Daphnia pulex: one gene and its partner. The protein of the gene in region 2 purifies or fractionates together with the protein of the main gene of each other region. This does not show direct contact. Links are inferred from orthologs where the notes say so. Each region holds a gene or a part of one and is shown on either strand. Other genes may lie near its edges.

The links.
Region 1: the proteins of DNA-directed RNA polymerases I and III subunit RPAC1-like (region 2) and DNA-directed RNA polymerase III subunit RPC10-like purify together in Homo sapiens (affinity purification with mass spectrometry; 4 studies listed by BioGRID and IntAct, counting the BioPlex papers as one, with this or other methods). This does not show direct contact. The link is inferred for Daphnia pulex from reciprocal best matches to the Homo sapiens genes POLR1C and POLR3K.

What each region holds. Positions count from the first base shown.
Region 1 is NC_060019.1:12,453,038-12,455,517, reverse strand, and holds DNA-directed RNA polymerase III subunit RPC10-like, read right to left. Parts: upstream 861-2,480; coding exon 534-860; downstream 1-533. Other genes in the region: yrdC domain-containing protein, mitochondrial-like, read right to left, coding at 1-457; feline leukemia virus subgroup C receptor-related protein 2-like, read right to left, coding at 2,061-2,352, 2,428-2,480. UniProt on the Homo sapiens protein: Core component of RNA polymerase III (Pol III) which synthesizes small non-coding RNAs using the four ribonucleoside triphosphates as substrates. Can mediate Pol I proofreading of the nascent RNA transcript.
Region 2 is NC_060020.1:1,790,075-1,794,413, forward strand, and holds DNA-directed RNA polymerases I and III subunit RPAC1-like, read right to left. Parts: upstream 2,931-4,339; 5' UTR 2,867-2,930; coding exon 2,774-2,866; intron 2,709-2,773; coding exon 2,637-2,708; intron 2,566-2,636; coding exon 2,325-2,565; intron 2,245-2,324; coding exon 2,125-2,244; intron 2,067-2,124; coding exon 1,884-2,066; intron 1,804-1,883; coding exon 1,687-1,803; intron 1,617-1,686; coding exon 1,494-1,616; intron 1,429-1,493; coding exon 1,316-1,428; 3' UTR 1,311-1,315; exon of another isoform or gene 1,282-1,310; intron 1,233-1,281; 3' UTR 398-1,232; downstream 1-397. Other genes in the region: sodium/potassium/calcium exchanger 1-like, read right to left, coding at 160-270; uncharacterized protein LOC124192222, read right to left, coding at 3,456-3,622, 3,688-3,923, 3,985-4,076, 4,270-4,339. UniProt on the Homo sapiens protein: DNA-dependent RNA polymerase catalyzes the transcription of DNA into RNA using the four ribonucleoside triphosphates as substrates.

The DNA of each region.
Region 1 (2,480 bases), on a different chromosome or scaffold from region 2:
ATAGAGTACTCTGAGATCCGCTGATGTTGGCGCTAGTCAACGCTAAAGGTTCAGCACAGCTATTTGCCAGTTGACGAATGAACCAAGAGTCCGGAATTCGAATGCCAACAAGTTTAGTTCCGGGGTTGAGTTCAGGATTCAAGGCAGGACTTCTTTCGAACACAAGGGTGACGGGTCCAGGTAAAAGGTCGTGCAGTAGACGTTCATCTACTGTAACGTGTCCCCACTTGGCGATTTCGCTAACTTGCGACACGCAAATAGCAACCGGTTTATTCTTGTCTCGCGATTTGATTTGATAAAGTTTTTTCAAAGCTTCTGAACTTTGGGACAGACAAGCGATCCCATATAAAGTGTCTGTTGGAAGAGCAATCACACTGCCCGATTTCAGAAGCTCCACTGCATTTTTTAGGATGGCTGCGGAGTTCTTGGGCCCAAGGAGGATGACTGGGTTGATCATTTGACAATTTTAAAGGCGATAATGAGTTGAGTTTAACATGAAAAAAAGAAAGTGGGGGTTTGAAGGCAGGTTGTGTCTAATCACGCCACAGGTTGGAGCACTCGTGGTTGCAGCACTTGTAAAAGGTGGTCATAGGCTCATCTGCAGATCGTGTCTGCATCTGCAAAAAGTAAGCTCTTGAATGGTCACACTTGGGACAAGTTGCTTCAGTGGAATCCACATTCTCCCAGGCAGCAACTCCTCCTAATACATCATCCACTTCCTTAAGTTTGGGGAATGATTTGCTGCTAACTTTTCGATTAATGTTGAATACGTAAGGGCAAGTACGGCAAGAGAATCGGAAACACTTGGGTCCTTCTTCAACACCCAAAAGATTTCCACACGTGGGACAGAACATCAACATTTTGATAACTTCGTAAGATCAATGTCTTCTCATTCAAAAACTTCGTACCATAATACAGAGTTTAAAATGCCACCATTTATATCTGCAAGGGAAATCAAGCATCATGTAACTTGAGAATGTTAGATAATAATCATAGTGATGGAATTTTACCTCTAACAATCGCAAATTACCCGTTGAAAAATGTTGCTTCGATTAATGTCGTCCCCTTTTTCCAACATACTTCCGCCCATGCTTTTTCGTCAGCTGTTTAGAAAAAAGCGTTGCCAAGTCGTGGTAACGTAGACCAAGTTCGAAGCGCCAAATCGAATTGCGAATTGCCGATAAATAAACAAATTATTTATTGTTGTCAAGATTTATAATTTATAATTTATAACCTCGTACTCATAGTAAGAGGTAATTTATTTCATGAACTTTGTTCTTTGTTCATATCAGTGATAAAATTCACTCCCCAAACCCCTTTTGGGAAATAAGCTAAGTATTTTTTTTTAAATAATAAAATTTGATGTTGTGGCAAGCCCACAATAGCAAAGTGATAGTAGTTGATGGGGATCCCACCTTTTTTTTCGGGGGAGGGGTTTCACACCCTTCTTTTTTATTGGTGAAAAAAAAAACGTGAACGTGGTGGCATTAGATTTTATTTGGCGCAATAATTGTTAACTGTCACATCATCCAAACCAAATGATTTGGTCAGTTTAAAATGGGTCGTGGTGAAAAGTGAAAACAACTTTAACGTCAAAGGCTCATAAAGAATCGAATGCATAATACTCTGTAATGAAGCTAACTTGGGTTTGAACTTTGCTTTCCATTCCCTGCATTGTACGGAAGACAGCAATTTTACTACATTAGTAATAACACAGAAATGTAAACTCTTTTAGACCGGAACCGAAAGAGAGAGGCTATAAGCTATATATATAAGTATACATACAGTCTATAACTATCAATCACTTTACTTTTTTTTCCCCCATTGAAATCGTCGTAACGGATTCACGGTATAGCCGCAAACTTTGTGCAGCAGCCAATCACATTGAAGGAAGCAACATTTTGAAATGGCAGATAATACAGTGACACAAAGTTTACCTAACTACATATCTATAACAATAAGCAAATCAACTTGTTCGAAATTGCGTGAGGCAAATGTGGCATCTCTTGGAGACAGGCAAAGCTCTTACTGGTGAAGCTCAGAGAGTCGATTGATGACACTTAGATAGCTTCGTTTGCTCGAAACGCTTCCATCTGGTTGGCTCTTTGGCGTCTGAGATCCGAACGGATGAACAGCGATAGAGCAGCGCCGAAAAATAGTGCTGCCGACAAACTTCCGTTACAGACCAAATCGCCGTAGTTGCTCAAGAGCCAACCCCCGATGATTGTGAAGACGATACCAAATACTTGGGCGGAGGCATTCAGTAAACCAGACGACGTCACTTCTGGCTCAGGGTACGTCAATTCAGCTGCAAACTCGAATCCAACAGGCAGATATCCAGTCATAAAGAACCTTAACCAAATTATCACAAATGTTACGAAATCTTTTAGAACACATAAGTAATATTTAAAAAAAAAAGCTTATTACCCTACAGCTCCGGCCGTGACGAACGTAATGACGATATATTGAAGTTCGAACGT
Region 2 (4,339 bases):
TCTTCACTCGTTTTTAGTTGGCGACGTTCTAGTTTTGTCATCACAGCAAAAAACAAAAATTTTTTTTTGTTGTTTTTGGTTTGGCTGTGAAGCAAAAAATGAACGAAGAAAAGAAAACAGTTGAGGGGATTTCAACCGCCCCAATAATGGGAGACTTACCGGCATATAGTTGCTACGCAGGGATGACGTGTAGGCCGACGATGATGAACCGCCATAGGAGCTACCGTAGGAGCCACCATATCCTCGTTGACTGGAGTAGTAGCCTGCCATTGCGTAATCGTCTTCTCCGGATCCGAAGAATGAAAATAGGAAACGATAGGGGTTCAAAACCGAAATAAAAATGAATAGACAATCATAGGCATAAATTTATATGAGGCATTCTCTTACCCAATTTCTGTTGTCCAGCCAAGTCCAAATGAGAAAAAAGATCTCCCTAATTAACAACTTCACGATCGGCCCAGATGGGGGAAAGGGGTCTTTTGATTGAGGGAGACGGTTTTTCTTTCGTCCGGCCACCAAGCAGAGTGCGTCGTCGACTGTACTTGTAGTGAACGTGGAGATGGAAAGCGACCCGAGTGCTCTACGTCCGAAACAAAACTCTTCCACAAGCTCGCAAGCTTCCACAAGCTTCCACGAGCACTAAATTTAGATGCCACGGTCAATGAGAAATAGACTTAAGAGAAAGAGAGAAAAGAAAATAGGAAGAAGAAGAAGGGAAAGAGAAAGGGAGAGGAGATAAAAAACAAAACAGAATACACTTCTTGTTCTTCTTCCCATTTCCTTCATCTCATCTGCCTAGACTTTCTTGGCACCACCTACGCATATTCCACAATGGGCTAAAACGAATTGGCGGTGTAAACAAAATGTGAGAAGGAAGGAAGAAGAACATTAGAAGGAGGAACATCTCGGTTCACATCCAAAACAATCAAAACCTTAGGATCCAAGGTCAATAAGAGGCTACTACAGCTTATCTAGCAAGTCTAGCGCCAACGTTTCGTAAAACCAGTAGCGAAACAAACAGAAGCCATTGTTGCAGAAGGCAAATAAAAATAGCGATGGAAAGGAACATATGAAAAAGGATAGGTATCCTTCCGTAAAACCAGGAAGAATTAGTTGCTCGCCTCCACCCCTCAAATTTTTTAAATAAGTCTTCCCTTCCTTCCGTTTGAAAAGCTCCGGTTTCGGTTTCTAAATGCAGTTCTGGGTCACTCGGCTGGAATCCTGGGTGATAACTATATCAACGGCACAAACGCCTCCAGGTGAACTAATAATGCGTAATCGTCATGAATCAACGCGTCTATTTAGGATACCATTCCTACAGTCCATTCTTCAATTCATCCAAAAATACACGGCATTTTTGTGACAGGATCTTGGCGGCTTCAGTGAAGAGGACCTCCGGCGCCAGTGCTCCAGTAGACTCGATGTAAACTAAACACATTTTCAAATGCATCGCTAAAGTAAGGAATAAGCAAAAATCCAATAACAATACTTACAGATGAAATGGTCGCGTGCTCGGGTCAGCTTTACAGTGTCCTCTTTTAGATCTTCGTGACGGAATACGTTGCGGCTGCAGATGTCATATCGGGCATCGTTGACTTTGGCAACCTTCTTTTCACCTGAAATAGAATAAAAAGGTAGTGCTTCACACTAATTAAGCTAGAAGAAAAAATATAGTATGTAGCAAACCTGAGTCGACCAAATCAATAACCCCAGGGGAAAAGCACTTTTGTAATCTTTGGGCAGCTTCACCTTCCACTTCCTTAAGAAGTTTCACTTGTGGTAGGAGACGGTAAAATGCGGTAGCTTGAGAAAATAGAAAAATAGTTTTTGTTTAAATCTCGGTCCAAAAATTCTTAATCATAAAAAAAAACAATAAAACTAACCAACGGGTGAGAATTTTGCATGTTCTCGTCCGGTCCCTTTCATTGCGTGCAATTTGATGTCAAGTTCGTGACCAGGTCTCATTTTTGCGATTAGAATGTTATCGTCAACTGGTCCAACTGCATCAGGGGTAAAGATATCTTTTTGGCCACCCAGTGGAATCCATTTCAAATGAGATGTCAAAACTGAAAAAAGTAGGTCAGCATTCTGTCGAAAAAAAAAGGTTTGAGTTTCCCTTCTTACCTCTGAAATCCCTGTACAAGTGTTCAGGATTTGTATGATCTTTAGTCCTTTGAGGATTCCACGAACATTTCACTTTTAACTCAAATTCAAGTGTATCTTCAGGAGTCCCAGTATCATCATCTAAAATGAGAGATGGGGTAACAAAGATTCAGTTATATGAAGTAAGGTGACAAAGAAAAGAATGGGTGTTTGGAGTATACCTTCAGCTCTGAATTCAAACAATCTTGGGTCAGCTTTCAATGGTATCAGTCCCAGTCTGTGGGCCAAGACTTCATCTTGGATGATTGAGGTATTGTTGAACATGAAGACTTTGTCGAAGGCCATGGTGGGAATATCAGACAGCAAAATACGACGAAAAGCATTTGGTATGGCTGGATCAACACCAATCAAATCAAACTCCATTTCCATATTTTCCATGCGGACAATGTTAATTTTGAGCCTCTACAAAATCAGAAAAAATGGTAATGCTCTCTTTTTATCTACTTATAGTGTAGAACTTTTCTTAGAAGAACCTTTTTGAACTTTTCAAAACTCCAACTGTCGTCAAACCCATGATGATTTCCTGGGAAGTCTGTGGCTTCAGCCTAAATAGTTATTTTTATTATTAAATTTGGTTGAACTTAGGAAGATTTCTGTTATGTAGTATTACATTAAGAACTTCGAATTCTGTCAGCACGAGTTCATTCCTACTTTCATCAATGTATTCCTTGCTTGATGAATATTTAACTTTACTTTTACTCATTTTTCCGTTGAGCTTTAACACGTGTCTGGACGAGGGAAAAATTGGCAAATAATGACTATTGTGAAAAGTGTCGTCTGCTTTTATTTATTTTTAAAATTTACTGCAAGATGTCGCCACCGTCTCGCCACCGTCTCTCAGTTTAATTCAGTTCAAATCGAAACCGCTTTTCTAGAAAACAAACGGACATATATTATAGGGTAAAGGTAAATAATAAGAAATTAAATATTATTTTGATAGCCAATAAACACCCTCCTCTCAAAAAAAGAAAATCCTATTTCCAATAGTATTTCAAGGAATTTGTTGAGTTTTTATATTTCTATTTTTTCTGAGGCAAATAACACATACACGTTAGACACAGTAACTGTACACGATATAAACAGTTAGCTTGGATGTTAGCGCGATACTTACGGTATAAGCTGAAGTATATTCGGCGTATCAAACAGTCCGAACTAAACTAATACGTCAGCATTTTACAGACATGTAATGTATGGGTAAATTATTTCTTTCGGAGGAGAGAGAATAAATGGGGCATTTATCCTGAGACTGAACCATCTATGAAAAAAAAAATGTATTCGTCTTTGTCATTTATTTAATTTTTTGTCTTATTCTTTGAAAGAATGTATTTGGACATGACAGCAATTCGTGAATTGATTTTGCTGTTATCGTCGCTTGAAGCTGAAGCCCTTGGTGTTCTACGTCTCGAATACGACTCCGGTTCTGCTGTTGCCTGCGGGATCGGTCCTCGATCAGATTTTCCTGTAATTAAGAAGTTCATTTGCAGGTAACAAAAAAAATTACAATTGGTAGAGGATGTGGTTTACCTGCTGCGTCTTTTTCCAAATCCGAATCCTTGTTAGTGGAACGGCTAGACAAGTACATTGAGTAGCGCTTATCGTAGACGGGCGGATCGTAAGATGAAGAGTCGACCGGCTTTATCGACGACGGCCTGGCATACGAGCTGCTGTAGCTAGGACTGTAGCTATCAGAGCTGTAACTTGAGCTTCTCTTCTCGTAATCCTTATCATCGTTCAGATAGCTCGAAAAGAAACGAGACAAACTATTGATATTCATTAAATACCATCTGGTTCATTTGCGTGAAAATTTGATTTGTTCGTTACCGAGTAGAGGGTTGGGTGTTGGTCTTCGTGGCGAAGCGATTGAGCACTGACGAAGTCGCCTCACGCAATTTGCGTAAATCTTCTTCGATATCCTGAAAGTGAGCTAATGGTTTGTTAATTGATCAAACAAAAATGTAGTCAACTTATAGAATCAAAACTTAGAACCCAACGGTAATTTCTAATAATTTGAGCTTATTCTATCAGCTATAGAATAAAACTATTTTTAAGATATGCTACGCTATGCAAAATACGTGGGTGGTTCACAAAGCGCTCAAATAAATTTACCTCTAGTTTCATGACGGGTTCTCCGTTAGCATCATCATCCAAACACGAAGCGGCACTGTAGCGCGCCCTG